4 linked regions of the Oreochromis niloticus genome follow. The protein of the gene in region 1 interacts with the protein of each later gene in a pairwise test. Links are inferred from orthologs where the notes say so. Each region holds a gene or a part of one and is shown on either strand. Other genes may lie near its edges.

Region 1 (7,482 bases):
ATATAAGTTGTGTCCATCGTTACAGGCCGACTCCAACTGTTTGTGTTTACAAATTAGACATCAATTTTCTTCAAGCCTCTGCCAATCTGTCTTAAGTCCAACTTGGACTGTGACTGGGTGTTGCCTCCTAACAGGTCGCCTTATGATTAAAAAAAAAGGTCTCCCAGAGGTTGATGGTTGAATGTTTGAAGGTTGCATGCTCAACCACTTGGTGACAAGTTGCTTGCCGAATGTGGAAAAATTCTGTGCAATCATTGGTCAACCGCCTATTTTTCCTCTAGTGTGACTGAGTTAATAAACCAGTGAAGGAAAAAAAAGTTAGAAAAGGATAATAGGTAAATCAAACAGGGATAACTTAAAAATCATACAACAGGTGTTGTGATACAGAATGAAGTCATTGTGTTATTGTGTGTAACCCTCACTGTGCCAGGATTTCGACGCTTGTACTGCACAATACTGGATTTGAGAACCACTCCACTGACCCAGGCCTCAGCAATATGGTGGCACAATTCAGGCACACTGAGGGTGCCAGGATGCACCAGACCCCAGCTAGAAAGGGACACAATCATTTAAACTTCAACTCCTTATCATTCAACTAATGCTGCAATATGAGAATAAAAAAATAATTAAAAAAAACAACTGTGGGTACAAACCTCTCATTTTCTGATTCATCCAGCTTTCTGACTGTGGAGGGAGAGAACATTCATCACTTTAAGAGACATTAAATATCACTGTGTTACATTATGTATACATTATTTAGACATTTGCTTGGCTTTCATCTACAGTGTCTTCGGGATTTTAAAAACCACTGCCAAAGATGAACTGTTTCATGACTAATACAGACCACTTTCAAAGTCCGGAGTGCAAGGCTGCTGACTGATGTCATATTTATTCTAGGAACAAAAGTACATTTGCTACAGCCACAGTACATTAGGGATTGAATTGGCTGCATTTTGCACAATCTATGACATTCCAGGAGTAGAAAAAAGGAAAATGCAGAACATGTTGCATTCTCTTAAATATACAAAGACCGCATTGAGACAAAATTTAGCACCTCTAATCTCTGGCCAGATCTTATTTCTCCAGGTATCTAGACAGACGAATACAGCCATGCCAGATGCCAACAGGAATATCAGGCGCAGTGAGGTCAGAGCGAAGAACCTGGCAGGGGATAAACCACAGAAAACACATGAACACAGTGCATCTATTTCTTGCTTTCCCAGGCATAAACAATCACAGAGCTATGTAGTTAAAAAGTTAATGCAAAATTAATTAAACCGCAAGACGGTCTGAGCGAATTCCATTTATTATTGTCAAAAGTAAGAAAGAAAGCCCACCTTCTGGTGTCTTACACAAATTTATTGTAAACCAGAAGGTTGGCAGTAAGTAGAGTATTTGACTGTTTTTTTTTTACTCCACCCACTACTGCAATATCAATTATATCAATAAACATTTAGCTGATATTAATCCAACAGACTAACAGATGTACATATTAAAAAATGTGGTCTAACTATACATAAGGTTTCAGGTTTTTTCCATCTTTTTGCCTTGTACACAACCCTAACTAAATCCCCACTGCTGCTCCATTTTCAGATCACAAGACTCCAAAATGTAATGGGAACAACAATACTGCAGGAATCTGCCAATCACCGGTTAGAGATTAACCTAACAAAGAATTTGCTGGCAGAACAAGGGGTATCAGTATTTGGGTTAATGCTGTAATTAGAAGTGACAGTAACAAAAGCAATGTGAAATGTTTATGGAAAGTTGGGTCACCGAAAAATGAGAAAACAACAAGTGCTCAGCACTGAAAATGCAGCTGGTGGTTTCACAAGTTTGTCATTCGCCACCTGTATGTTGAAAATCAGGACAACCCTGTCCTACTGTGAGAGTGGCTGCCCTTGTTAATGTCTAACTTTCAGTCACTTTGGGGTTACGGCTGCATCACTCTGGGCTGAAAATGGCCTGCACCATTACGTGCGTGCTGAAGCAAAAGTAAAGCAGATGCAGTGCAAACGTTCTGAAACGCTTGGTGGTCTAATCAAATTCAGGCTGAATGCCAGAACTCTGCAAACATGCACACCAGTCAGGCTTTCTTTCCATGTGTCAGGTCAGTGATCCTTCCTGTACATCTAGCAATACCCAGCTCAACTAAGTAAGGCAAAATTTGGCCCAGTGAAACACTCAAACATACTTACATATTCATATAGTGAAACAACTTCCCCCCCTTATCCCCATGACACTAACTGTAGATTTGACCTCTACAGGCTCACTGGTAAAAGTGGTAGAGATAATCCACAGCATTACACTGATTTCAAGATTAAAAGCAACAGTTTGGAGAGCATAAAAGTTGAGTGAAAAGTCCCTGCAGAGTGTGCATAAAAATAGTACCGCAACTCAGCCAGCTGCTTTATATTGAACTGACAGGCAAAATATTTGCATTGTGCATAAGAACCATCTGCTTCCAGTCACGCTGTCTTGCCTCTTGGTTTTGTCTGCATGTCGGCAACTGTAACACAGAGACACTGAGGAAACATAACTCACAAACTAACATAAGCTAAAACTTACCAGAACACAACGTTGATCACAATGTAGAGAAGGACACAATGAAAGGGTTTTTCCCAGACCAGGACAGACTGCAGGTAGGTCAGGACAGGCTCATAGGGCCCCAGCCTGGACTGGAGAGCAGCTTTGACAGCTCGTACTTGGCCATCTCTTTCGCTAGAGCATGAACGACTTCGAAGGCAGATATCAGCGCTCTGATTAGCAGAGCAATCCCCCACATCTGCCCCTTGCATTGTTCCAGTGTGAGTCATCTTAGCGTCCTACTGCTGATAAAGTAAGCCTGTAAAATAAAGACTTAAGCTAAGTGGAACCATGTAAACAGCTTCATGAGGGGCGCCACAGCGCCGCTCCACTAACATTTATGCTAACGGATTTTTAAGCTAAAAGCAAATGACGCCAGCCAAACCACTTTATTATGGTCTAACAACACACATTTGACTATATTAAAATAAAATATTTTATCAAAGCAAATGGATAAACGTTTCAAAAGCAGGTGACACTTACTATTTTGTCATTTTTTTGCAGAAATGCGGCGCTCGACTCGGCGAACTTACAATATGGCGTTACCTGTTTTTCTGAGCCGTCAGCGGCCCAATCACAATCCACTTGGGCCCTGCGTCATGAGGCATTCAGGTGCAATAGGAACATCTTTGCTTATTTTGAAGCACTTCGTTGGCAAAGTTGAAAATTAAAGAGCCATTGCGACTGTAATTTTACACACCAAAAACCTAACCCATTTTCGATTAAGCTGTCCACAACAACCCACTTCTTCCCTCTTTATTCATCATGATTTTAAGCCTATTGAAAATATCATCTCGTGCAATTCAATACTTACGACCTATTAATGAAAATGGCTTGTTATGAAAAGAACTTTACTTCCCTGTCTAAATAATCTAAATTTAACTGTATACCCGAAAGTTTATTTAGCTACTGTAATTTATCTCATAGACAGTAGGCTTACAGTTGAGCATTTTAAAACGTGTCTACACTGTCCCCTTCTGGTCACATTCTATAATGATATAATATCTATAATAATAATAATAATAATAATAATAATAATTATTATTATTATTATTATTATTATTACATAATGTTAATAATGAAAGGATATGCAGCAGGTTAGAGTGATTACAGATGGAAGCTGTACTAAAGAGTGTGCCGAGTACTTTGAAGAGCTGATGAATAACGAAAGTAACAGAGGGGGAGACATGGAGGACAGTTAGTGAATCAGGAAGGGCAGAGGATTAGTAAGGAGGAAGTACCTATGAAGAGGATGAAGGGGATGAAGAGTGGAAAGGCAGTTGGCCAAGATTACATAAGTGTGGAGGTATAGAGATGTCTATGAGAGTGGAATTTTTTTAACCAGATTGTTTAACACAATCTTGGAGAGTGGGATAATAACTGAGGAATGGAGAAGAAGTGTGTTGGTATACATTTTCAAAAATAAGGGAAATATTCAAAGCTGTTGAAAGATGATGTAAGGCAGATTTTACGGTTCCTTACAGCACTACACACTCCGACACGAACGGTGGCAGCACACGTTTAGAGTCGCCTTGCGACTCGCTAACCTACAGTAGAAGAAGTCTGCTTGAAGCGTCACTGCAGGACCAAGCGGGAAGGAGCGGGCAGAGGTGAAGCGGTGTGAAAGCAGTGGCTATTTTCTTCTATTATTTAGCTAGCAGGCAGACTACAAGAGCTAGCTAAATAAGGGGCGACTGAAGACGGAACATGCCGCGGGAAATCATAACGCTTCAGCTCGGACAGTGCGGAAACCAAAGTACGTGCAAAGACGTTGATAGCGTTGAAACCGCTACAGCTTTTTTATTGTTAGCTGTGCGAGATGTCATCAGATTGTCATGTATTCTGCTGTGTAACGACAGTAGCTAACTGCTAATAATAAGTCGAGCTAACTTTAAATATAACAGAAACAACGACCTTGTATCCTAGCTTACCTATTGGCTAATAGTGTCTATAAACATAATGTTACTGTGTGCATATTGTGTGATTACCATCAGGTGCCTTTATGATATGCATTTTATGGTAACGGGCATCCGTGCATTTAGAGTAAAGTTGTACCAGTTTGAGTAGTCAAAATGAACATGTTTTGTTTACTTGTTCCCCCTCCCTGTTACTCAGTCGGATTTGAGTTCTGGAAGCAGCTGTGTGCTGAGCATGGCATCAGTCCAGAGGGGATTGTTGAGGAGTTTGCTACAGAAGGGACAGACAGAAAGGATGTATTCTTCTATCAGGTAAGTGGAGCAGAAGTATTCTGGTTCATGGCACATAGTCTCTCTTGCTATGTGTTACAATCGGCCTACATTTTCTGCACCGCAGAGTGTACAACGTCTCCAGTCCTCTATGTGATGATGCTTCTATGTAGCTGAAGTGCAACCATATTATTTGCGACTAGGTGGCATGCTTGTATAGTAAACTGTAAGAACCAAGCTCCTGCAGGGAAACGACAAGCTCAACACTGCAGTGTTTTCATCTAACCGCTTGTTTTTGATTAAAACCCCAAAGGCTGACGATGAGCATTACATCCCGCGTGCAGTTCTCCTCGACTTGGAGCCCCGCGTGATCCACTCCATCCTTAACTCCCCATATGCAAACCTGTACAACCCAGAAAACATCTACCTGTCTGAGCATGGTGGAGGTGCCGGGAACAATTGGGCTAGTGGCTATGCACAGGTGATCACCTGATATAACCTACCTACTTTTCTCTTTTTGTTTTTTTTTTTGTTTGTTTGTTTTTTACCCTTACCTCATTAATCTCAATAAAATTTTTAATAACACATCTAAAATCTGCTCTGGATTCTCTACCTCTAGGGAAAAAAAATTCAAGAAGACATCTTCGACATTATTGACCGAGAGGCAGATGGCAGCGACAGTCTAGAGGCAAGTTTATCTTTTATCACATACCGACTATCCCAGAGGGCTGGGACGATTGAGGCTGTGGCAGTGTGGAATTTAAAAAATTGATTTAAGAGTAAATTGATACGGATGTGTGTAGAAATATTACATTTTTAAGACTAGCTTGAAACTGTAGCCTAAACCTTATTCATGCATTAAAGTGTCAGGTATTTGTTGTTAATGTGAGGGGATTACTTTTGAACCTGTTGAAATTACAGGGATTTTCTGTCTGATATGGATATACTTACACCTTGTAGCTTGTTTTGTGTTTGTTTGTAGTTTTGTGGTCATGCTGCAGCTCCATTTGTCTCTTTGTGATCTGTGATCTGGTTAACTGGTAATGTCTGTCATCATTTTGTGTCGCTCTGTGGTCATTTTGTGTCTCTTTGTAGTGGAGCAATTGGTGTCTCAGTGTCTCTTTGTTGTCATTTTGCGATCATTTCGTCTTTCTTTGTGGTCATGTGGGCACTTTTGGTGTCTCTGGGGTTGATTTGTGTCTCTTTTCAGTGACTTTTTGGAGGTGAAGCTCAGTCTAGACTGAGTAAACCCATTCGTTGTCTGAATACTGTTATGGAGTGGTGGATTTTACTCAGGCATGATTTCTCTCAGTCTTTAAGGCTTGTGTTTTGTTTTTGTTGTGGTAAAATGCATGTAGAAATGAATGACTTGATAGAAACGGCATGCTAAAATGGTGCCAGAGCCTGTCATCTTAAAACCAGCACAGCCCAAGCCATGCCTCACTATTATTCTTAGCGTCCTTTTTTTTGGGGTGAACTTTCTTCAGCTGCCAGCCTCCCATAAAATAACAGTCACATTTCCCTTCGAAGGTCTGCAATTTCTGTAACTCATTCACATTATGACCCCACATTATTATTTAGTGTGTGCATTGGATAGGAAGGTGGGCCGAGCTGCTGTGGGCATGTGTATGTTGGCAGGGTGTGGCGTGCAGTATGTCTGGTGATAATAGCCGGGCGAGTGAAGAAGGCAGGTATTACTGGGCTGTCTTGGGGGGGTGAGGGAGCCTATTTGTAAGGTGGGGCTGCGTTCCCATTTATATAACTGCAGAGGAAAAGAGGCATTTGCACACCCACAGGCACATTTAACGTTCTGCTTCAGAAGAGTTCACAGTAAGGTTCGCACATGTGTGGCGCACGCTGTAGCTTGAAATTGAAGGTATTGAGTGATCCTTTGTCTTTGTAGGGATTTGTCCTGTGTCACTCGATTGCTGGGGGGACAGGCTCGGGGCTTGGATCCTATCTCCTGGAGAGGCTCAATGACAGGTCCGCATGCACATACTCAACTTGATCCCTTGTATTTCTTTTTCTTGCAGTATAGTACGAGCAAATAATATATAATTTCTGTCCCACAGGTACCCAAAGAAGCTGGTACAGACTTACTCAGTCTTCCCAAACCAGGATGAGATGAGTGATGTGGTTGTTCAGCCATACAACTCACTGCTGACGTTGAAGAGACTCACTCAGAATGCAGACTGCGTGGTGAGCAGCAGCATTTTAAAAAAAAAAGGAAAAAAGAAAGGATACTAATTAATCCCATTGCTTTCTTGGCATCATTACACACCCATGACATAAATAATCTCACAAGATGGCATAAGGATATAGGAATCAGCATTTTTGGAAACCCTATAACCGTGCCATGCAAAATAAAGTTAAAATGAACCAAATTGTTCAGCTATTCCACTGAGCTTAAATGGGAAAATAAAATTTAACATGTTGAGATGAGATGTCTTAACATGTGCTTACAGGCCACTTTATTGGGTACAGCTGTTTAGTTTCCTGTTTATGCAGACATCTAAAAATCCAATCAGATGGCAACAAACCAATGCATGTTGTGCATCTAGACTTGGTTAACATGACTTGATGAAGTTCAAACTGGGAATCAGAATGGGAAAGAAAGGTGATTTAGGTGATTTTGAACGCGGCATGGTTGTTGGTTCCAGATGGGCTGATCTGAGTATTTCAGAAACTGCTGACCTACTGGGTTTTTTCC
Region 2 (7,681 bases), on another chromosome or scaffold:
AAGGAGAAAAGGTGATTTAAGTGACTTGGACTTGGCTGTTGGTGCTGAATGGGCAGGTCTGAGTATTTCAGAAACTGCTGATCTTTTGGGATTTTTCCACATAGCTGATGGCTCATTACAACTAAGGCAGAAGAGCATCTTTGAATGCACAACACATCCAATCACAAAAGACAACACCAGGCGTTCAGCTACAAACTAGAAACTGAGGGTCATCATCACTGAACAGAAAAATGTTGCCTGGGTCTCGATTTCTGCTGTGCGGTAATGATGCGAAGGACGTCAGACTTTATTTATACCAAGTGAACATTATTTAAATACCACTGTCTACATCACTGTGTGTGTGTAATATCCTGTATAAATGGAAATAATTGTGCTGAATCAATTAGATCGGTGTGTGTTTGCTCACCTTGACCACAGTCAGGATGAAACCCCTCCACACCTCTCCCGTGTCTGCACTGTCCATCTACACACACACACACACACACACACACACACACACACACACACACACACACAGTTGATAAAAAGATGAAAACAGGTCAGTCAGTTTAATTTCACTTTGGCTAGAGCGATGTATAGTATTGATCCATCCAGTGATTAATTATAAGATAAGATGTAATTGGATCATTTGAAGTGAGTTTTATCACAACAGACCTTAAGTTGCACCTTCTCTGTGCTGAGGCTGAGGGTGAACACAGTGGGTTCCTTCTTCTGATATGGAGAGTCTGACTCCATCGACTTCAGCTGGTCCAGGTCCAACTTCTCTGTATACTGAGAAAAAAATCAGGTCAGTGCTCGCAGCACTTCCTTATTGCCCCTCAAAGCTACTTCCTAATTCTTGGAATTAAACACTCCACATATTTTCAAAAGATGATTCAGGTAATTAGTCAAGTGCACAATGTGAATAAACATAGGTGTTTGCTTACTGTATCCTGTGTGTCATCTTTGTACAGAAACAGCGAACACCCACGGAGCTCTCCATAGTATTTCTTGAAATCCTGAAAGTCATTTGATGAACATGTCAGGCATTTAGATGCACACTTAAACTGCTTACACTTGACCTGTTTCAGTTTTTCAGCTACGCAGTCATGTGGAAAACTATGCACACTTCGTGATTCGGTATCTAGTTGCTATCTGGACTTTGACTGAGCTACTGCAGCACCTTGATTCTTTTCTTTTTTCAGCCATTCTTTAGTAGATTTGGTGCTCTCCATTGTATAGTTGCATGACCCACTTTTGCCACGTTTTAGCTGTCAGACAGATGGCCTCACATTTGTCTCTTTTAATATTTAGTATACAGAGAGATTCATAGTCAACTCAGTATCTGCAAAGTTCACAGGTCCTGTGAACTTTGCATCTACCTGCACCGCCGTGTTTGCAGTCGGTATGAGGTGTTTGTGCTGATATGTTGTGTTTGTTTTTTCCAAACGTGTTGCTGTACATTATCTCCAAACATTTCTACTTTGGTCTCATCTGTCCAAAGGACGATGTTTCAGAAGTCTCATGGTTTGTTCAGATGCAACCTTGCAGATCAAAGCTGTGCTGCCATGTTTGCTTTAGTGAGAACAGAGGCTTTCTGCTGGCAACCCTTCCAAAAATGCCCTACTTGTTCAGTCTTTTTCTAACTGCTCTGGTGTAAACTTTAACATTTAGCACGTTAACTGAGGCCTGTAGAGTCTGAAATGTAGCTCTTGGTTGTTGTTGAAATTTTTCTGATCTCGATGAGACGTCGACTCCCGGGTAGATTGTCTTAAAACACACCAGAATGGTCCAGACTAGCAAATTGCTAAAACTCTTGCTGATGATCAGTTCATCAAGTACATTTGATTAACAGCCCATGGCTGCCTCTTACCCTCTTAACTCCTGTGGAAACATTAAGGTTGTAGCTTTTCGAGAAATGCTCTTTGTCACATGATTGTATTTACACTTATCTAAAGGCTGTAAGATAATTTACAGATGAGGTATTTACAAACAAACCTCTATGTCTTGTATATTTATTGTTGGATTACCATTATAAAATATGATGCACCGTCAGAGCCGAGCTACCCACCCACTGGTGATAAAAGGTGGTTACATTTAGTCCCCTCTCCACAATAAGGCAGTAACAGTTTACGTCAGATTGAAACAACTGCAGTCAGCCCAGATTACATTTGAATAATAATATCAAAAGTTGCTTCTCTACATTTTTCATGCCATTAAAATATTTTAAAGTTATAAAACCTTTTCGATAACCAATAAAACAAACTCATAAAAACGTGTCTTACATAATTCATGTGTACCACAGCACTGTGTTTGCTGAAAGTCCCGACTGCATGAAGAATACAGACATAAAAGATTTTTATGTTTTTTGACGTAGTGTAACACAAAATTTGCTCTGTCTCCACTTTTTAAAGTAGTCCAAGAGTAAGTATGCTACACAAATTTATGTAATCTAGCAGATTAATGATCAAATATGTAGCTTGTACTCAGTAACCAACATTACAGTGCAGTAAGACCCAACTCTCTGAACTACAGCATTAAAATAATGTCAGTCAGTATAAGTGATTTAGTAACATCCAGACACTGCTAATTCTCCATTATGAGTCCTTACTTTTGATAGACTTTTGCAGCTTTTGTTTGGTTTTACTCTTAATTATTTACATTTCTTCGTGTTTATTCCCCACATTCGTTCTTACCGTGTCTTTGCTGTGTTTCTTCAGCAGGTGTCCGGAGTAGTAGAGAGGCAAGGCTGTGATCGTCTCCCTCCTCTTGTGGACAACTCTGGGGGGCCTTGACATTGTCCAGTAGTCTCTCAAGTCAACGTCTTCTTCTGCCCTGGTTTGGCTCAGCTTTGGCTCAGCCTATGTCTTGCAGTGCAGTCACTAGTCAAGGGCGAACTGCTGAGTCCTGGAAAAGCTTTGTTCTGATTTTGTTTCCTTATGAGGCTCTGAAAGCAGGTATGAATTAAGACTATGCGTCCAGAATATGAGAGCTTTGATCACGAGGTCATAAATGTACAAAGATAAGCCTTTCTTTCCCCCACCTTCAGCCTCAGCACTGTCCTCTCCCTCAGAATGAGGAAACGTTGGTAAATATATAAAGAAGGAAGTAGCTGGTGTTATAAGAATTCTCATACTAACTTGTGCTTTTGTACTTTGGACCTGAGCATATCCCTAAAAAGCTTTACACCACAATAAATTATGCACGCACAGACACACACACACACACACACACACACACACACACGTTCACATCAGTTCAAAGATTATTTCAGTTAACTACACTTATTTCTTGGAGATTTATCATAACTTCAAACATAATAAATTCTTACCTAGAATTTAATTGTAAAAGTAAGTTTAAGTGTAAAAGGGACTGCGAACAGATTCTGAGGAATTCACACATACACACGCATGCACAAGCTCTTAATATTGCAAGTCAGCTTAATATTTAAATTGAACACATGATTAAAGAAGATAAGCAACACTTGTTTAAAAGCATTTGGCAGGATTTGTCGTGTGAGAGCTGACGGCTTCATTTACTAAGACAGATTTATCACAAAGTTTAAAATACACAATACACAGAATATATACATGAACGGTTTAAACTTGACTATAAGATGGTTTCAATATATTTTAAGGTGTAAAGGACAAGGGCAAAATTAGACTGAAACTTAAAAAAAAGTAAATTGCTGAAACCTGCATCACTACTTAAAATTCAGTGATGCTAGCTAGATAAATAAATAAAGTTCTGATATTGTGTAGCGGATAACAGAAATAACAGAGTGTTAGCTATACATTTATATAGATTATTAGTTATAGCTGAAGTGACATCATCGTATTGTCCTCAGGAGTAGTAAGGTAGCAGTTACCACTAAATGGCCTGTATTAATGAGTTCAGTGGAAGTGTGTCTATGCTACTTGTTACAGTTTATGAACAGTTACATAAAGGTTACATGTAACACTCTCAGGTGCAGCTAATAACACCAGCAGAAGGCTCTTACTTCAGATTGTCTGGGATTTGGGGAGGTAACAAAACATCATTGTTTTCCAAGTGCATTGAATCTGTGGTGAACATGGTTAATGTTTAACTGATGCCAAGCAGCATATTAACCTTTAACCCTGACATTTGCCAGTATGATAGCAGGCGGTGACATTGGCGGCCATTAAAACAGACATGAAAAGCTCAGCAGACATCACCTTTGAGCAGCTGTTCAGCTAAAATGTATTTTAGAGGAATTACTTGCACGTGTCTGTCTGCATGACACTTCCTGCATTTTTGCTTTAGAGTTGTCAGCCACACTGCCAGGAATGTTTAACTAGGGCTTCTTGATACATTTGGTAATTGCAAAGAAAATAAAAGGTATTAAAAAAACAATATATGACTTGAACCAAGATGAATTTTTCAGGTAATACTGACAAATTCATTAATAAAGCTCAACCAGTACAAGTCAAGAATGTTAGATAGATTTATTAGCTTTTCAGCTATTATGTTTATAAGCCTTGCTTAGGTTTGTTCTTCCTATTTCCTGATCCAGACAGGTTTAAGAATATGTACAGACTGTAAAACCTCTTGAGACACATCTGGAATCAGTGACACTGGGTTACAGTCACTATAGTAACTGACTTGATTAAGACACTGGCTGCTGTTGTATCATAACAAAGCGATCAGAACATTACAATAAGAGTCTTCTTTGGGTTGTCTGCCTTTGCATTTTTTCCACTGTCTCATAATCCCATCAAGTGTTATTGCTGTAGGATCTCTTCTGAGTGATTTGCCTTAACGAGTTTTAGCTTGAAGTGTTTCTGGAGCTGTGCTGTCAGGCTAAGAAGTGGGTGTGGATGCATTACTAGCTCCATTAATGCATCCTTGGTACAGAGTCATTTTACAAGACAAACTACTCACAGTAGTGCTGCCCTCTACTGATGCAAGCTGAAAAACCCCACTTACTGCTTCTTTTTTTTTTTTAAAAAAAAACTTAGTTTGAAAAGATTTTACTCTAACTGAGACATTTCAGAGTACACACACTTAATAAGTTTGTACTTTTTTTTTGACTTCTCTTACCTTACATAATGTAACACAGAATAATGTAGAACCCCTTCCCTTTTCTCATACTTTACCCCATGCTCTCTTATTTGATTCTAGCAAGATACAGTCAGTAAGACAAGTCAGATGGGGTTGCATCAAAAAAAGAGAAAGAAATAAGACAGCTTAATGGCTGAAAAAAACATCAGCACAAACACAAACAAACAAGGCAACCCTCGATCGGACCTACAGCAACTCACAACTGTTATTAGACAGATGGCATTGTGATGAATGATTCCACTTTGTTATCCCAGTACAGTAGTGAAGTAATTCCTTCCCACTGTCACCAAGTGCTTGATTATTGGGGTTTTCTTTGTATTATTGTAGGGTCTTTACCTTACAATATAAAGCACCTTGAGGTGATTGTTGTTGTGATTTGGGGCTTTATAAACAGAATTGTGGTTTCTGAGTTTAAAGGTGAAGCTGATTTGATAGCTTTGGTTTATTTCGGTCACATGCTGAATTATCTGCACACAGATGTTGCTATGGTGCTTCATACATTGTTTGTGGTGCATGAGGGATTTGTGCACGTGTCTAGATATGCATAGTAAAACCAAAACCAAAACACATTCGTCATCCTGTTAATATTCTCTACATGTTTCATGCAGATTGATGTCTACTGCTGAGCAGATTTCTTTCTCAGCAGTGTTTCTTTTTTTTGACCCCACTGCTCCTTCTAGCAGCTCCTATCTTCTACTTTAATCCCTCATCCTAGAGGGGAGGCCAGGGAGATGTACACAAAGGAGAGAAAGCAGTCTCTGCTCTCCATCATGAGGCCCCTAATGATGCTAACCCTATACCACTGACAGAGGAGAAAGTGGCCACAGGGGCGACAGGGATGGGGAATAATATGTTGGACTGATGAAGCTCTATTAGGCCTTCGTGGGGCGAGCATGTTCTTTGCTTCAAATAATGTGAATAAAACATGAAAGGTGAGGCTTGTTATCTTGGTTTTATTTCCACATGTTTTCGATTATGATCCAGATTTCTATCTCAGTGACAGTAATAAATATAATTACAGTTAAACAAGTTCTGCAGTCATCCTGTTTGTGGCACTAAAGCGGTGATATTCTTTCTTCTCAAGGCTCCTTATTCAGCTGCACTGACACAAAGGTCCTAAACAAGAGGACGTATGAGAGAGAGAGGAAGACACATCAAAGCTGACCTCATATGAGAGATAAGTGATCATAATTCAGTAAATACTGACCCATTTCTGGATTAGCTGGCAGGCTTGTATAAGAGGTTAAGCTGGACAGAGAGATCATGCAGGGGTCAGGCTGTCCCCAGGTGTCATAACATGAACACGGCTGGTCTTGGTACACACTGCGGGAGATGTCCCCCGCTGGAAAACAAAACAGCTTCAGCTCAGGTTCACTTTTATTTCCCTTCCTATCTCCATTTCTATCTTCACTTGTTCTAATTAGACGAATGATGAAACACATGCATGCCTGCGTTTCCAGGGGTAACTATGCATATTTGTTCATGCAATCTCCTCTTCTAATGTTTGCAGTGATGGAGAAGTGAGGGTATATGGGCCTGTAATGAGAGGCCAAGGTGAGGAGGAGGCAGCGAGGAGCTGGCTTTGAGGACAGAAGCCTGGGGAGCTGAGGTGGACCTCCTGCCGCGGAGGTTGTTTTAGTCAGACTAATATTAACATAAGACCGCTGGCTTTTCACATCAGTCTGCCATGTGGTCACGAGCTGCGGAGAAAACCCTGAGCCTGCTCTGTAAATACATCCATGTGTGTGAGCTCTTACAATAGAAAAAGAAATGGCCACTGAAATTTGTCTTCAGCGTGCAATTTCAAACAATGTGTTTGATTTCTCTTGCAGAAATGACATTTTCTTGGTACAACTTCAAGATTTTTTTTAAAAGGGGCATAAAAAAATCTGGAAAGGTATTAAAAATAGGACTTTCAAAGGCATCTGAACAATGTGGAGATTTGGTCAAAAAGGGAAACTTTACATTCTTCACCACTTATCCAGCTAGTGTCACTGGGGTTGAGCTTGTGCACCTCTCCAGAGGCACAAGCTCATGAGCAGATATGAACCTTTCTAGATTTGTGACACCAACATGACTACAATCAGATGAGAAGTTTGTATGACTCGATATGAAATACAATAATAACAGTTTAAGAGTTTCTCCTCTCTTCTAACCCCTCTCACCAAATGTGTTTCCCAGGGCTCAATAGCACTTAGAAAAAGAAATTATGCAAGCATAGCCTAAACCTTCTCTCAGCTCCACATCACCACAAACTGTCTGCCAGACATCCTCCTCAATCCCTCACTAACTGTTTCTGTGACCTCAGGATCTGATTATCTTCCAATTTTCTCAAAATAAACAAAAATAAAACTCATAGTTGTTTAGTCAAATGCACTGGTATGAAGAGTTGTTGCTTTATCTCTTGCAGTTCATGGCTGTTTACTATCTGCCCATCCATGATGGCTGACAAACTAGGGTGTATCCTGGACTTGACCTTATATTCTATTATCATCTGTTTAAACAGAAACTAAAGCTTCCTGGGTCCAGATATTCAGCATTGGTAGTAGAAGTGAAAATACAGAAATTAATAGAATACTTGTGAGCCTACACTTTCAACATGAACAATTGCAGCTCATGC
Region 3 (7,678 bases), on another chromosome or scaffold:
AGTTAATTTAGCAATTATTTACTCAAATGTATAGATTAACTCAGGTCTTTTAAACATCAAAAATAGTGAAAATGTCTATGAAACGTTCCCACAGCTCGAGGCAGTGGCTTCAAATGCCTGAAATAATTTCAAATTTACAAAAATAACCTTCCCAGTGGACACTTCCTCCATTAATCACTTATAAAAATCGTTGCTGACTAAATTCCAGTTAACCAGATGATCAACACACACTGACTAACATTTCTAATAATTTCAGTTATAGTCACACAATTCATGAATCAGCCTACCTTTCCTGTAAAGATAGCAAAGAAGAAGAGGAGAGCTGTAGTAGGACAGAGACCATAGTGCTGAAGCCTGGAGGAAGAATCATAAACAGATCACTAATCATTCATTTAATCTACTTCTGTTTAAATCCACCTACTTCTTTCTATACAGTTCATTACAATGTAATACTGACCCAGCCAAGAATGCTGTCAGTGTGTCTTTCCAAACCCCTAGGTTGGTAGTTCCATCCCTGGCAAAAGAGAAGGAAATACTTATCATATCATGCATCAATAGTTTCCCTCATGTTACGTAAAATCAAGTTATTAATAGAAAGAGAAAAGTTCTGAGTTATGCGTGTTCACTCTGCACACCTAAAATTTCTATTACAGCTCTGAATCATGCCGCCTGCAGAAGCTTTCTGATGACTTTGTGGTGGTGGTGGTGGTGGTGGTTGGGGAACTGGTGGATAACTTTATGGCATGGTGTAGCAGGAATCAAGTGCTACTAAATGTAAACAAGACTGAGAAGACAATGGTCAAATTTGAATGTTAACATTACACACAAATACCTGCTGAGCACTTACTTTAATAATCTTCTTCACAACAAACAGAATCTGCATCAGCATCTTTGTTATTTATCTACCTTTCTTATTATAGCCCTTTGCAAAGCTGCTGATTGCTTTTTAAAGTTTGAGTGCAGAGGCTAAATGCTGGAATTACTTATGTAGGCAGAAATATACACCAGCATCATCTGTGGAAGCTCAGCTCAGTCAATGTATGCAACCAGAGATCTTCAAGCAGTCTGTGGTCTACTGGTGAAGCAGCGCTGATCCAAGAAATGCCAACAGGATCAATAAAGTCATTCACAAGACTGAAACAATCATTGGGAAAAAGCTGGACACATTTCAGACAGTGAGATGAAGGTGGTCAATGGACAGATCCCACCATAAAAGACAAAACATCCTATTCTGTCTATGATTCATTACACACAGACAATGAAGCACATTATACAACAAAGTATGGAAACCGAGTGCTGGTTCCAAATTGTCTAGCCCACAGGATTCGTATCAATGGCAACATGTTTTTCTGACAGTTGGAAAACAGTGACATCAAATATATGTCACTGTGGACCTTCTGCACAGCTCAATCTGCAAATCTCTCGTTTTACTCCATTTACAGATCATATTCAGACTCAAAGATAAAATTGATCTGGAATGAAAAAGCTAATCAACTGCTTTAGTCTGACTTAAAGGCAAAATTGATAATGGCATTAGTATCTATCTGCGTTCACATTTCCAACACACTCATTCACCTCTGCTGACAGGAAGAATTAGCTCTATAAAACTGCACACTTGTGTGACAGGTGAACACACAGTTGCACCCATGAACGTCAACATCTTTATATATTCATACATATACTGGATATATTATTCACTGCTTTGTTTTTGCACATCTGTTCTTATTGATCTTTTCCCTCTTCCTTTTAATCATCACCGCATATAGTAAAATGGCCACTTTATTAGGTGCAACTGCAGATAAAACTATTTAGGAATGTAAACAAAGTGAAGACCATCTGCTGAATTTGAATCTTTTTCACATCTTGAATCTTGACACACATGGCCTACAGCTGCTTTAGACCACACCAGGTGCCACTCTTATCAGCTAAGAATAGGAAAGGAGGTTACAAATTGCACAGGCTCGAGTGTGCGGGATATTTTCTTGGTATACTTTGGGCGACTAACTAAGCCTTATTTAAAAACCACAGCCTACCCCAATATTAATGCTGTCCATGTCAATCCCTTTATGGCCACTGTGTACCCTTCTTCCGATAGCTGCTTCCAGCAGTCACCATATCACAGAACTCAGATCGGTTTCTTAAATATGGCAATGAGCTCACCGAACTCAAACGACCTACCACTGTTACCAGAGCTCAACAAAACCTTTGAGATATGGTGAAATGGGAGATTCACATCATGTATGTAAGGCTGACAAACCTGCAGCAACTGCGTGATCCTGTCATAAAAGTATGAACCAAAATCCTTGAGGAATGTTTCCAGCACCTTGTGGAATCTGTACCACGAAGAACTGAAGCAAAACAGGGCCCAACCCGATACTAGCAAGGTGTACCTAATAAAGTGTGTTAGTCTATGTAGAAGTGTATGTATTTGATGCTGAGCGTCGAATTCTTTAGATCTCCCGCTCTCATTTAATTTCTAGGGTAACTTTTAATTCATTCTTTTGTGGTTGTGGTGTAATTTCCTTCGGGTCACTCTTATCTTATTCGATCTATCGTTATTCATATAAGTTAGCAAACGTTAGCTTAGCTGTTAGCATTATAATTTGAAGACAGAATGGATTTTACAATTCTGTCTTCCCAAATTCATTTTTACAGTTTTTATGCCTTTAAATTGTCCCTGTTTGAGTTTAATATTTTTATTCAATTTATTTGTTTTCTGTTTCGTTCCTCCTGGGTTCTTCTCGGCTCCTGGCTAGCGTTAGCAGTTTGACATCATTAAAGATAGATTGAATTTAAATGACCGCTCCTTAGACGACGAAACAAAACACAGCGAGACCAAGGAAAGCGTGTCGTTGCGTCCTTGTCTTTTCATTCATTTCTAAAATGTCATTGCGATGCAGGGTTTCAATAACAAACACCTGACACTTCCGGGCCGCAGCTGCAGCTAAATGGAAGCGAAAGGATTAATTATTGCTCAATCTTTCGGACTCAGCAACTTCAAAAATCATGCAAAATACTGTACACATCCGTACCCTTCTTCCCGATCTCCCGTCAGGTCGAGATTGGTCCGGGGAACGATGAATTCGTTGAAGATGAGGCCCTAAAACACAGCGAAGCCACATCCAGACGGCCATTCTTCCACTACGAGAACTACGGAAGCCCGTACCCACCAAAATCTCAAACGCGAAGCGCTCTCAAGAATTTCTTGTTTAGAAATAAAGGCAAGAATTACAGCCAAAGTCTTTATTTAAAAGTTTAGTATACATATTACTTAAAATAAAATTATTGGTACACATATTATTTGCAGAAGATTATAATATTGGATAACAGCAAATATGACTGACAGCAAGGAAATTCATGAAAAGATCATTTGACATACAGTAGTAGGATACTGTATCAACTGCTATACATGCGTGACAGGTTTTGAAGCATTTCAAGTAAAGAATGTTTTAACTTTACTACTTGACAATAGCTTAGAATACAGTAAACCATTTAAACAATTGTGTAGCATGTCCCTAAAGCACTGAAGTTTTTCTTTAAATCCAAACTCTGACATTTAGCCGTTACTTGTGTTTAAAAAGGCCTTCTGCAGCAGCTGGGAGCTGAGCGGATGTGACAGCTGGATACGGGGGAGATGTGGGTAGGTGATCAGCTTTGACACTGTTCGTATCTGAAAACAGAATGCAAAGACACACTCACAAACACACACACACACACAAAAATCTCCAGTGCCCCAGTCTCTTTTATTCTTCCTTAAACACAAACACAGACAGCCCACGCAACAACAGCACATGGGTGAAGGAGTGCTGCCTGTCAGCGCGTGGCGTGATATTATGCCACAGTGTCAGAGTGATTTTCAGGCTGGGGTGATTGGTGAGTGTGAGAAGAATGTGAGGGGCACATGAGTGACAGTGCAAACACACAACATACAAAAGCACACACAGGTGATGCAACTGTGTTTGCTTACCGCTCCAGTTCCTTATAGACATCATCCTCTCCTCTTGGCTTCAAATCCTGACATAAAGAAGAAAGGGGAAACGGGAAAAAGAGAGAGAGAGAGAGAGAGAGCGTGAGAAGGAGTGGGACAGAGAGGAGAAGGATAAAGAGATGTACTCAGGCCAGATTTATGTCCCTCTGGTGTGTAATGAGATTGATTTGTTAATACCACTAATGTAAGGGTGACAGTTGATAGGCAATGGGTTTATCTGAGAGAAGGCTGATAGATTAGAGGAGAAGACTGGAAGTGAGAAGGAAGACGTATCTGCTGACAGCTTAGGGAGGGTGCAATAGAGAGAATGAGACTTTGTATGCACTAGTGAATGTGTGTGTCACAGTTACTTGCACAGACACATGCAAGCACAGTGCCTGCATGTGTGTGAGCGCATAATAACTCACCATGTAGACTGGACCCTGGGGAGGGGCCTGTTGGGAGGGGAAAAAACTGGTTTAATGAACATCAAGTGACAGAGAGGGAGGGACACTTGAAGTCGGAGGAAAACAGAAGCAGACGAGGGAAGAAAAACATAAAAGTGCACTATAGAGAGAAGACGGTAAAGGGGGAGGGGAGGGGGAGGGAAGCAAATACCAGAGGGGCGATGGAGAAGAGAGGAAGATGAGGGCAAAAATCATCAGGAGGTATTTAGTTGAATTCATCACCTGTCTAATATCTTCAGGATTCTCATAGATGTTCTCTGCTTCACCCGAGCGGACAGACAGAGACTGCTCGATACCTGAGTACAAAAAGACAGTTACTAGTGTACACACACAAAAAAAAAACACACTCGGCTGCACAGGGATGGAGGAGTGGGGTGGGGGGCAGATTCATTACAACAACCCCAGAGGATGTCACGGCCCAGATCACTCAGTGGAAGCCAACAGGGGCCGAAGATGGACGGAACACGGAAAGCTGTCAAAAAAGAAAACGCCGGAAGACTCACCGCGATCAGAAATGTGTCTCTGTCTCCATAGCAACACACCGACAGCTGCGGCAACCAGGGGCACCAGGAGTAATAAAGCAGCGAGAGAAGGGTGCAGGGAGGAGGTGGTGTCATCGACACTCTCTACAAAAGGAAAAAGTGAGAGAAAGAGAAAAGAGAGAGAGAAGCATGATTTTTTCCAAGAACGGTGCTAATATAAAACTCAGAGAGCGGTGATGGTGTGCGGTTGAATGACATTAAGGCTGTCCAGGAACTTATTGCTGTTTGCTCTCCAGTTTGTTCTAGTCGAGCAGGGGGGGAAACCTTTTTTTCTTAACACTTGGAGCTATATTTTAGGACATTTTGCACTTCCAATTTCCTGAACACGTTACATGCATTTGCATCATACTGCTGTCAGTCATAGACAAAGGGTGCAGTGAAATAAGGCGAGGAAATCGAGACTCGAGACAGAATGAATAGTCTGTAGAGCAGCTTCGAAGACATCGATCTGACAGACCCTCCGTCTGGACAGTAAAGGCTGTCAATTTGAAGCGTGGATGAGAAGACGGAAAGCAGCAGTATCAAGGAGACCAGATACTCTCTGATCATTACAACAAACAACAAAAACTCAGCAAAATGCCACTTCCACACAAAGCTGTGTATGCAAAAACGAAATCCTAATTATTCCATTTCTCATTTTCTAAATATGATGTAGGTAAAGTCTGGAGATGCTTTTCTTTGCACTCCCTTGACATCTGATCCCTGCGACAAAATGCTTCTAGGCAAACTGACAAACAATGGGGGATTGCAGTCTTTCAGCCAATCCTGGCCGATGCAGTATTGAAAAACAGGTGGTTTAAAAGCGTAGGCATGATTATCACAAACATTACATAAGCACAACATTAGCTCACTGTTGTACAAGTCAAATTTTGTGGGAAGAGCACATGCGTGCGATCAAACTTGTCAGGATTGTTTGCATAATGACGGTGACATCAGTCTTGCAAAACACAGCCACCGGGAAACATGGGAAGCAGCAGGGTGGCGCCTGTTTCCACAGAGATTGCGTAAATTAGTGCACCTGAACAAGCGCACCGTTGTCTGTCTACTCAACTGTAGACAGAGCACAAAACAGTAAGATCTAACAAACGTCTTTGGGTTACACAAGAGAAGCCTCATTCACTCTCAATCGCTGCAAAGACTGATTATGTAATTACATAATTAGCAGAATTTATGATTAACTCCTTCATTTAAGGTTCTCCAAAGGACAGAAAACAGGTGAAAAGTAAAGTTCACTTTCACCAACTTTTCGCAAATTTAGTTTGAAAGGGGATTGGCTCTTGGGCTTCACCTTAGCCCCCGTGTCTCAGCTTTTAGCCAGCTTCAAAATAATCAATCATTATGTGCTGTGTGAGGTGTAATTGATTGGTGAGTGAGTGTAGAGGTTGCTAATGGAATATTGTAGTGAGAGCTGACCCCAAGACTGACCTGCTCTGTTCTCCATGCCAGCTTTAACGCATGAATTATGGTAATTGAGCACAGTGAAGTGAGGCGTAAATGCCCCCAGTTTCTCATGACCACTTGTCCTCTTTTCTTTCTTTCTTTCTTTCTTTCTTTCTTTCTTTCTTTCTTTCTTTCTTTCTTTCTTTCTTTCACCTTCCTCTATATCTATACTATTTCTTTCCCCCATTGCCACTTCTTCTTTACCTCGTCTATTTAATCTCAAATAAGGTAGGGAGTGATTTATATTATTGCAATTGTAGGGAGGAGTGCCTGATAGGAGGCTGACTGAAGAACTGCTTGAATGCTTTGCAAACGATGGACAAACTGAAGATAGAAAATGACTGCAGAAAATCCCTGACATTTGAAGTATGTTGTGTGCTCCTCAGCACAATAATTGGTTCAATTCTGCATTCTTTGAACTGTGCCACCGGTGAAAGAATTTTGACAGTGCATTGTTATTTTACCTCCTACACCATGCACTCTGCTTGGCTTACATTTCAGTTAATATCCTAAAATTATAAATATAAATATGGGTTGTTTGCTGCACTAAAAACTTGCTTCACTTACTTCCCGCTCAAAGCACAAAAATGATGCTACCCGAGATGTCTTCCAGAAAAAAAAAACAGTTCAGAAACCTTAAACTGTCACTACTTATTGTCACATTATCCATTATTAACCATGATTTGATTTTTTTGTGCTATCTTGCACTATTGCTGTGTTTGTGCAGTCTGCCACTTTTCAACAGAAAAAAAAATGTAGGTCATCCAACACTCACATTATTTGAATTTTCACTCTGCTCAGTCTAAATTCCCTGTGACATGCTGGAAAAATGCAGCGCTTGTCATATTTATTCTATATACAGCTGCAAGAAATAGTGTGAATTACCAGAATTTATGAGGCGATTACTCATAAAATGTGGTCTTATCTTTATCTAAGTCACAATTATAGACAAATCTGATTAAAAATAATAACAAACACAGAGTTACCAGCCAGAGTGCAGGCTGAAAGTTGTTACACTCTTGAATTTATTAACTTGCTGAACCCCCTTTAACAACAACAATCTCCAGCGGATTTTTTCCTGTGGCTGCTTCTGAGACTTGCACATCTTTGAGATGCTCTTGTTTTACTTCATCAGTATTTTAGGGACATCTTGATTGAACAGCCCCCTTCAGGTCAAACCACAACATCTCAGCTGGGTCGAGGTCAGAACTCAGAATTGGTGTGATGTTTGCAGGACGCCCACTCCGAGGGAGAGCAGCTAC
Region 4 (7,429 bases), on another chromosome or scaffold:
AGCTTACGGGGATCTTGTTGGGGTGCTGCTCACGGATCTGCTGGACCTCTTTGCACCGGTCAGCTGTGGACAAAAGACACAAATGGTCACAAAAACAGAAAGTTCATTTCTTGTTCGGTCGAAAGAGGAACCATCCTCGTTCTTATTTTGAAAGTCCAGCCAATGACAACCAGCTAACTCTGACTTCATGTCTGCTTCCCTACAGTGAGGCTGGACAGGTGGATGATGTCTCGAGTCCTGTAATCAGACAGACTCCAGCTCCACCCGCTGGTGACAGGAGCCATCCGTCACCTCTGTAGGGTCAGTTTAACCAGAACCTGCTTAATGTGCTGCTGCGCTGAGCTCACCAAGGATGCTGTGGCCATGATGGTGACTTCACCAGTGGGGCAGCTGGTTACCGCTCAGTATGAGCTTTTATGAAGGGCGATCGTGGCCGTTCGTCTTGTAATCGGAAGGTTGCCGGTTCGAGCCCCAGCTCCGACAGTCTTGGTCGTTGTGTCCTTGGGCAAGACGCTTCACCCGTTGCCTACTGGTGGTGGTCAGAGGGCCCGGTGGCGCCAGTGTCCGGCAGCCTCGCCTCTGTCAGTGCGCCCCAGGGCAGCTGTGGCTATTGTAACGTTTCATTTCTGGTGTGATGTGTGATTGCATACAGAGATCACGGAGCTGTTTAGTGCAGTGCAGAGATCCATTCACCCACACAGCTGCAACAATTAGTCAGTGAACTACACAGTCAACTGACTGAATGATCATTTTAGTCACTTTTCAGCTAAAGATTGGTTAAAGCTTCTTAAAAGTGATGAAAAAAAATGACATGATAGTAAACTAGGTGTAGTCAGAGAGGATCTGTTTAACGACGTGGCTAATTAACATCAGTCTCTTTGTGTATTTCCCCCTCTTCTTCCACACTAAGTCTTTTCTCTTTTCGAGGCAGAGCTCTGAAGTTTGCATCTCTTCACAGCTTTGCATATCATTATTATGTTAAACGTCTCCTTTAATCCTCCGCAGGCTTCCTTTCAGTACCCATTTAAGCTTTGCAATGTTTTTTTCTTTTTTCTTTTTACTGCCTCACTATCTAATTTTACAGCATGCTGCCCTCTCTGAACCTCCTACTGGCCTATTTCAGAAAAACTGCTTTTCCTTTTTCAAATACTGGTCGGGTTCAAAGCTCAGGTGGCTCAGAGCAGCAGCAGCTGAGTGTGAATGGCTCCTTTGTTTCAGTGTGGAGGTGTTTATTGGGAGCCAGCTACAGTCCTGCTCCAGGTTCTGCAAGAACACCTGTCTTCAGTTTGAATCTAAATATTCAGAAATATTCGTCCTCACTGGGCTCCTGGAGAGAGTCACACCTCCCACTTCTAAGATCAGGCTTCACATTTTCCTTTCTGATAAGCTTTATGAGGTTAGGGCTGGAGCAGGTGACCCTGAACCATCTGTCTGCTCGTCACAGCCTTGATTATACTTTTCACATCCACGAGGACACAAGTGAAAGAAATTTTGCTATCAGACGGTGATTGTTGATTTTTTTTGTGATCGTGAAGACTTGTCCACAGAGAATTTGCATTACAATGCACCAACTACCATGCACCCCAGGCAGCGGCACAACAGGAATGATTACTCAGCCGTTGTGCTTCCAGCCGTCTGTGTCGGCAACTGAATACAACCAAGGCTGAAGTCTGTCTTTATTAATCACGTCTTCTTCTTTCTTCGTCTACCATCAAATTTCAGGAAGAAGATGCTGAAACAATGATCCATCCTTTTTTTTATGGCTAGCAGAGGGCGACTAATCTGGTTGGAGATTTGAAGAGGTTCATGGGAAAACGGCCCCTCAGTAAACTCTTTCCTGTTGATAGGCTCAATCCAAACAAGATGGCGACGGGGCACACGCTCAGCTCAGGGCTTCATAACAGGATTTATGATGGTGCAGTCGCTACGCCCGTCTTCACTAATGTTTACACTGAAATCTTAGTCGTCCGAGAGCGACTTTTTAATGAAGCGTTTAAATATTTGCTGTGTGAGTCTTTTGAAAACATTGTTGTATCTGCTGCAATAAACAGACGACTGGCTGTTTTCTCTTCTGTGGTTTGTTTTGCCCTCCTTCAAAAGGTGGAGGCAGATGGCTGCTTGTCCCTGACAATGGCATCTTCCCATTAAATGGGTGTTCATTCTCCCCACCGTCGTCAAGTGCAGTTCACAGGAGATCATCTGATTGTTGGGGTTCTGGGGGTGTTTACCCTAACATGAACTGGTGCTATATGAATAAAAGTGAACTGGAAAGCGTATTATAGTAACTCCAAGTGTGGTAAACATGTCCCCTGTTGTGTAACTCGTCTGTAATGTGTGTCAGTGTGACACAATGCAAACAGCTGCTAAACAAACAGCACGCACAGGTCTACAAGAGCGGCTGAAAGCAGGTTATAAGCACAGAGCAGAAGGCGGTGAATGCAGCGTTTCTTGCATCTCTGCTGCTTCTCTGTAAATGGAAAGATTATGCAACGAGCCCGACTCCGGGCTCCTCCCTGCCCGGCTCTGGGGGGCTGTCTCTCGACCTCATATTTCAACATAAATCGCTGAACACGTGTATTGGGATAATGTGTCAGCACATGTTGTTTTTCCTTTCAGCAAACACAGATCAGTGAGATGATCCGGCCGTGTAAACGGAGGCCTAGCTGGCTGCGAGCTAGCCGGACAGTGACCCAGATGGCCCTTTAACACCTCTCGGCCCGGAGGATGCTGCCTCACACAGTAAAAACGGGATTTTCACCTTTGATTCGCCACTAAAAGAAATACTCTGTTAGCCTACCTACCCTGGCTCCCGGACACTTGTAGCAGTTACAGTAACCCAGCACCGACACCGTTTGTCTGCACTCTAAATACAAAGAGCTGAGCTAGGCGGCTAACGGGCTAGCAGCTCAGCGGCTGTTTGCAGGCACTTAAGCCAGGTAAATAACACCTTCCCCGGGGCTTTCTTACCAAATGTCCTCCTTTGTTTGAAGGGTCTGTCGGACGGCATCTCGGTCCCGGTTATTAATCTGTTATACACTAATGAATAACGCAATCGTTACAGCAAGCAGCGCAGGTCCGTCTCTTCGGTTCGAGTCTCTGGTTCGTCTGAAGCCAAAACAGCTCCGGACAAACAAAGACAGTAAACCGAGCCTCTGACGTCACCCGCTGCATTTAAAGGGGCCGTGCATCGATCCCTGAACCCAGAGAGCAGCTTTACATTCACGTTAACAGAAGTGCAAAGTTTAACCAGTTATACACCCAAGCCCGTGATTCACACGGTGATTCAGAGTTTAACAGACACAGCAGCGTCTTCATTTTGTACTGAGAGGAAATGATGAAAGGTTCGTGAATCAGCTGTAATGTCAGGCTGTGTTTTGCTTCAGCAGGGGCGTTCCTAGGTTTGTTTTAAATGAACTGGTACAAGGTGGGGGATGGGGTGTCCCAGTGAACTCTGATGGTTTTGTTTGTGTTCATAGACATTTTCTCTGTACTTTTCATCAGCTGTGTTGATTTTATCCATTTTTCTCCTTCTATGATCATTTTGTGTATCATCTTCCATGTTTTGATTATGAATATTTTGTGTTCATTTGCTGTTATTTTTGGATGTTTTTACTTTGTTTGTACTTTCTGCCTTTGTTGACTGTTTATAAAGACAGGAAGGCAAAACTGAGTGTTATTGGGAGAATTAACGAGATATGAGCTGTAGTGGAATGTAATACGAGTACTTTACTAAAGTTTTAATGTAAAACCCCAATTTAAAAAAAATTAAATTGAATAAAATGTAAATTTGAAATAACGAATGCAATCATTTGCAGATCTCATAAACTCATATTTTATTCGCCCATGGGAGATGGGCAATGAAAGGCTGGAAAAGTGAGCAGTGCTAAAAACACAGCTGGAGGAACATTTAGCATGTCTGTGATTCACTGGCAACAGATAAGTAATATGTTTGGGAATACAAATAAAAACTGTGGAACATTTTCAGAATGTTGTTTCTAATTTAAACACTGAATATCTCCTGATCTACAATAAATGATATCCCCGAATGATTCTGAGAATCTGGAGAAATCTTTTTGTGTAAGGAACAAGCCTCAGAACATTTTCTCAATTAAACCATCTGACATGTTTTCTATGTTCTATTGTACAGAAAAATGGGTTTATTAGATCTGCAAATGATTGCATTTTACAGTTTCCCAGATTTTCTGGAACTGAGGTCACGGTTGAAGTAAAAATATTTGTATTATGTTGCTTTTGACTTTTCTTCTGTTATATTTTAGACGCAAATATTTTACTTTGTACTGTGTACAGAACTCCCAGCAGTGTGTAAGAAACGAATCTTGCAGCTGAAGATGATTTTTAAGCGATGCACAAAAGAATGAAACGACCATGAAATGTGAAAATGATTGCTTTTAGCAGACGCATCAGCTGAAACCTACCAGCTGACTCTGCAGTTCTTCTCTGCAGTGATCTGTCAGAGACACTATGACTGAAACATGGCCCTCAGAGTCCTGAAATCAAATCTTTGGCAGAACTACAGCAGCAGACTTTTAACTTCCAGACGTTGAAAAAAAGCTTTTTTAAACTCTCGTTTTGAGGTGCATCAAAGCATTTTTAAACCAGATGTAATTACTGACTCTACACATGCAGTCATGTCCTGTTATTTTCAATAATGAGTCAAAATTAGTGTCCCTCCTACGTCGTAACCCTAACATCAAGCATCATTCAGCAGCTGCTTTTCTGCTGGGTTGTTTTTGGATGTTTTTCCTTGAGGTGACATGCTGACCTCTTTTTATCTCCTGAATGTGTAACCAAGCAACTGGATGATAGTTCAAGTAGTTTTATCTGCTTCCTCCTTTTTACCAGAACACTCAAGTTAAGCACTCTTAGCCGCTGATAGATGCATGAGTCTCTTATTAAACAAGAAAAAAACAAAAAACAACAACAACAACAAAAACCAGTAACAAGACAAAGACACGGGACCGTTTTCAATTTTTGTATTTCAGAATTGTTACAAATGAACAGAAACTTGACGCGAGAGCAGGGACGTGTTTGTAGTGTCGCTCTCTGCTCACAGGTGAAATACTGCTCCTTAACATTTTTAACCATCAAAACAATAAATAACAATCTGCAGTTTTCCTTTAAGGTGGGCCAAATAAAACAAAGCACGTCCTTTGTTCTGCCTCGTATACTGGACCTCTGCAGACCAGCGTGCTCTGCTCCAGTCATATGTCTGCGACTTCACTGCTCACTCGTGTTTCGGCGTGCACGTCTGGCTGCTTGCTACACATGAAATAAACAGTGACATGAGGTACGCGCACGCGCGCGCACACACACACACACACACACACACACACACACACACGCGCGCGCGCGCACACACACACACACACACACACACAGAGGAGTTGGAATGCTAAAACATGGGAAAAAAACAACCCAAAAAACCTCCTGCAGGCTGACTGACCGTCCTCGGGGTCACACATCTCCACCTTCACATCCTGACCTTACAACATTACTTCCCGTGAAAAAGCTTCTGCTAAACACAATTTTTGATTTAACGAGAAAAAGAAAATGGGCCGTTTAAATGAGAGTGATAAAGAGAGCGAACAGCCAGATGTCAGCTCCTTCATCTTCAATCTGATGGATTCTGGATGACGATGAGGAAAAAGTCTTTATCTGTGAAGAAAAAGGCAAAAAAAAAAAAAAAACAACTTCAGGAACGAAACCATCTTAAATGTTCATATCCAGCCGTTTTGGCCAGGAAATAATCCGAATAATGGGCATTTTAATATTTCCCATCAGATGCTCTCACCTGGAGCGATCATGATCTCGTTCTTCTTGGAGCGCACGCGCATGAAGGTGAGGTCGTTCTGGGGGTCGATGTCTCGGATGGTGCTCCTGGCCTTCATCACCAGCTGGTGGATCAGCCCGGCATACTGCACCGTGCTCGAGTTGTCCAGAGTCGACTTGATGGGGATTCCTGAAGGGAAAACACCCAGTAACCACATCACACCTTATTTTACTGGTTCTCTGCTGCTGAAACTGAAGCGTGACAGTAAAATAGATTTCAATTACTCAAAAAAAAAAAAAAAAAGTAATTAAAAATGGGACGAAGAAGGAAAATAGTTTTGTCTTCAGTAGCATTTTGTCCTGTCAGGTTACAGCTAAATTATTTAAATTCACAATTTGATGGGATTCCAGCTTTATTATGTACCAAGGAAAATGTAAGTGTGGTACATTAAAGGAACAGGGCTCAATGAAACCCAGCAGACCAAAACAAAAACATCAATAACAAATACATTTAACAGAGTGAAAAAAGCACATGTGAAAGTTTATATATGAAACAAGCATTCCTGATTTTTATGGAATTATCACAGCTTGAAGGATTGTTTTCCACGAATGACAGTTATGTTTTCTTTATAAACTAAATGTTGTTTAACTTGTTATTGATCAGGTAGTGAAACAATGATCAATATGTGGAAGATTTTTTTTGTATTTAATTAGAGAAAAGATTTAAGTCATTCGTAAACATGAGTGAATGCTGCTGTAGCACTAAGGATGCTTTGTTTCTTTCCTCACTTCTGTTTTCATGTGTTTGTATAAACTGATCACGAATCGCCTTCCTACACATGGCAGTGTGCGGCGTTTTAGCTTACAGCTGTGAGATTGCTCCTTTTTTATCTCTACAGCCTACATGTGTTTGCTCAGCACCACCCAGTCATGTGACAGCACAACAACAAAACACAATGAGGCAGAGAGGAGGAGGAAGAGGAGGAGCAGGAGGACTGTGTTTGTAAAGGGATGTCTACTTTTTGAGGAAACACACTGAAAGTAAAGCATCAAGTATCACGATCTGACACTGACACTGGTACCGATATTATCAATATTATGATCGATCCAGCCGGGTTTTCAGCGTTCCAGGGTCAGTCGGCTGTTTCAGGAGTAACAGGAGGGGAGGAGCCAGAGATAACACCTGCAGGGAGCAGGTTAGACAGGCTCACAGGGTCTGTTACCATGGTAAACGATTAGGGAAGGGTCACAGTGTCTGTTATCATGGTAACCGACTATCGGGAAAAATAAACCCTAAAATTTGCCTCAGTTTGAACAAACCCGGAGTTTATTAAACATGTGTTCTGGATCAGACCCCGGAGGACTTATAGCTGCAAAACACACAGTGGCAGTCATAATTAGAAACACGCAAAGAGCGGAAAGGTCTATAAAAGAGGAGGGAAAACGACATCATTGTCGTCTCACCCTCTGAATTGGCGACGATGATTCCCTGAACTCCTTTCTGGCCCTGAATCCTCTTCAGAGTTTCTTCTACTTCAGCCTGAGGGACGGAGACAACAGTGAGAACTCAGTCATTTCATGTGAGCTGATAAACGGATTTAAATCATTTAACACCGCAACAAACACAGAATTCAAATAA

What was found.
Region 2: the proteins of retreg3 (region 1) and signal-transducing adaptor protein 1 interact in binary tests that used the Homo sapiens proteins (3 or more experiments, as listed by UniProt). The two-hybrid records come from large-scale screens. The link is inferred for Oreochromis niloticus from reciprocal best matches to the Homo sapiens genes RETREG3 and STAP1.
Region 3: the proteins of retreg3 (region 1) and abhd16a interact in binary tests that used the Homo sapiens proteins (3 or more experiments, as listed by UniProt). The link is inferred for Oreochromis niloticus from reciprocal best matches to the Homo sapiens genes RETREG3 and ABHD16A.
Region 4: the proteins of retreg3 (region 1) and map1lc3a interact in binary tests that used the Homo sapiens proteins (3 or more experiments, as listed by UniProt). The link is inferred for Oreochromis niloticus from reciprocal best matches to the Homo sapiens genes RETREG3 and MAP1LC3A.

What each region holds. Positions count from the first base shown.
Region 1 is NC_031969.2:26,013,666-26,021,147, forward strand, and holds the start of retreg3 (reticulophagy regulator 3), read right to left. Parts: upstream 3,201-7,482; 5' UTR 3,070-3,200; intron 2,860-3,069; exon of another isoform or gene 2,846-2,859; 5' UTR 2,817-2,845; coding exon 2,569-2,816; intron 1,162-2,568; coding exon 1,055-1,161; intron 685-1,054; coding exon 654-684; intron 550-653; coding exon 423-549; intron 1-422. Other genes in the region: tubg1 (tubulin gamma-1 chain), read left to right, coding at 4,294-4,342, 4,702-4,814, 5,086-5,253, 5,392-5,460, 6,676-6,755, 6,845-6,971. UniProt on the Homo sapiens protein: Endoplasmic reticulum (ER)-anchored autophagy regulator which exists in an inactive state under basal conditions but is activated following cellular stress.
Region 2 is NC_031966.2:22,359,578-22,367,258, reverse strand, and holds the start of signal-transducing adaptor protein 1, read right to left. Parts: upstream 3,106-7,681; 5' UTR 2,778-3,105; coding exon 2,676-2,777; intron 999-2,675; coding exon 927-998; intron 772-926; coding exon 655-771; intron 464-654; coding exon 407-463; intron 1-406. Other genes in the region: paired box protein Pax-5, read right to left, coding at 6,155-6,177, 6,269-6,403. UniProt on the Homo sapiens protein: In BCR signaling, appears to function as a docking protein acting downstream of TEC and participates in a positive feedback loop by increasing the activity of TEC.
Region 3 is NC_031976.2:23,875,970-23,883,647, forward strand, and holds the start of abhd16a (phosphatidylserine lipase ABHD16A), read right to left. Parts: upstream 3,182-7,678; 5' UTR 3,135-3,181; coding exon 3,033-3,134; intron 515-3,032; coding exon 458-514; intron 355-457; coding exon 288-354; intron 1-287. Other genes in the region: g6fl (g6f-like), read right to left, coding at 3,649-3,670, 3,968-4,014, 4,396-4,422, 4,657-4,730, 4,938-5,060. UniProt on the Homo sapiens protein: Phosphatidylserine (PS) lipase that mediates the hydrolysis of phosphatidylserine to generate lysophosphatidylserine (LPS). LPS constitutes a class of signaling lipids that regulates immunological and neurological processes.
Region 4 is NC_031970.2:3,293,223-3,300,651, forward strand, and holds the start of map1lc3a (microtubule-associated protein 1 light chain 3 alpha), read right to left. Parts: upstream 3,148-7,429; 5' UTR 3,008-3,147; coding exon 2,968-3,007; intron 2,902-2,967; exon of another isoform or gene 1,723-2,901; intron 64-1,722; coding exon 8-63; intron 1-7. Other genes in the region: dynlrb1 (dynein light chain roadblock-type 1), read right to left, coding at 5,633-5,676, 5,813-5,980, 7,255-7,330. UniProt on the Homo sapiens protein: Ubiquitin-like modifier involved in formation of autophagosomal vacuoles (autophagosomes). While LC3s are involved in elongation of the phagophore membrane, the GABARAP/GATE-16 subfamily is essential for a later stage in autophagosome maturation.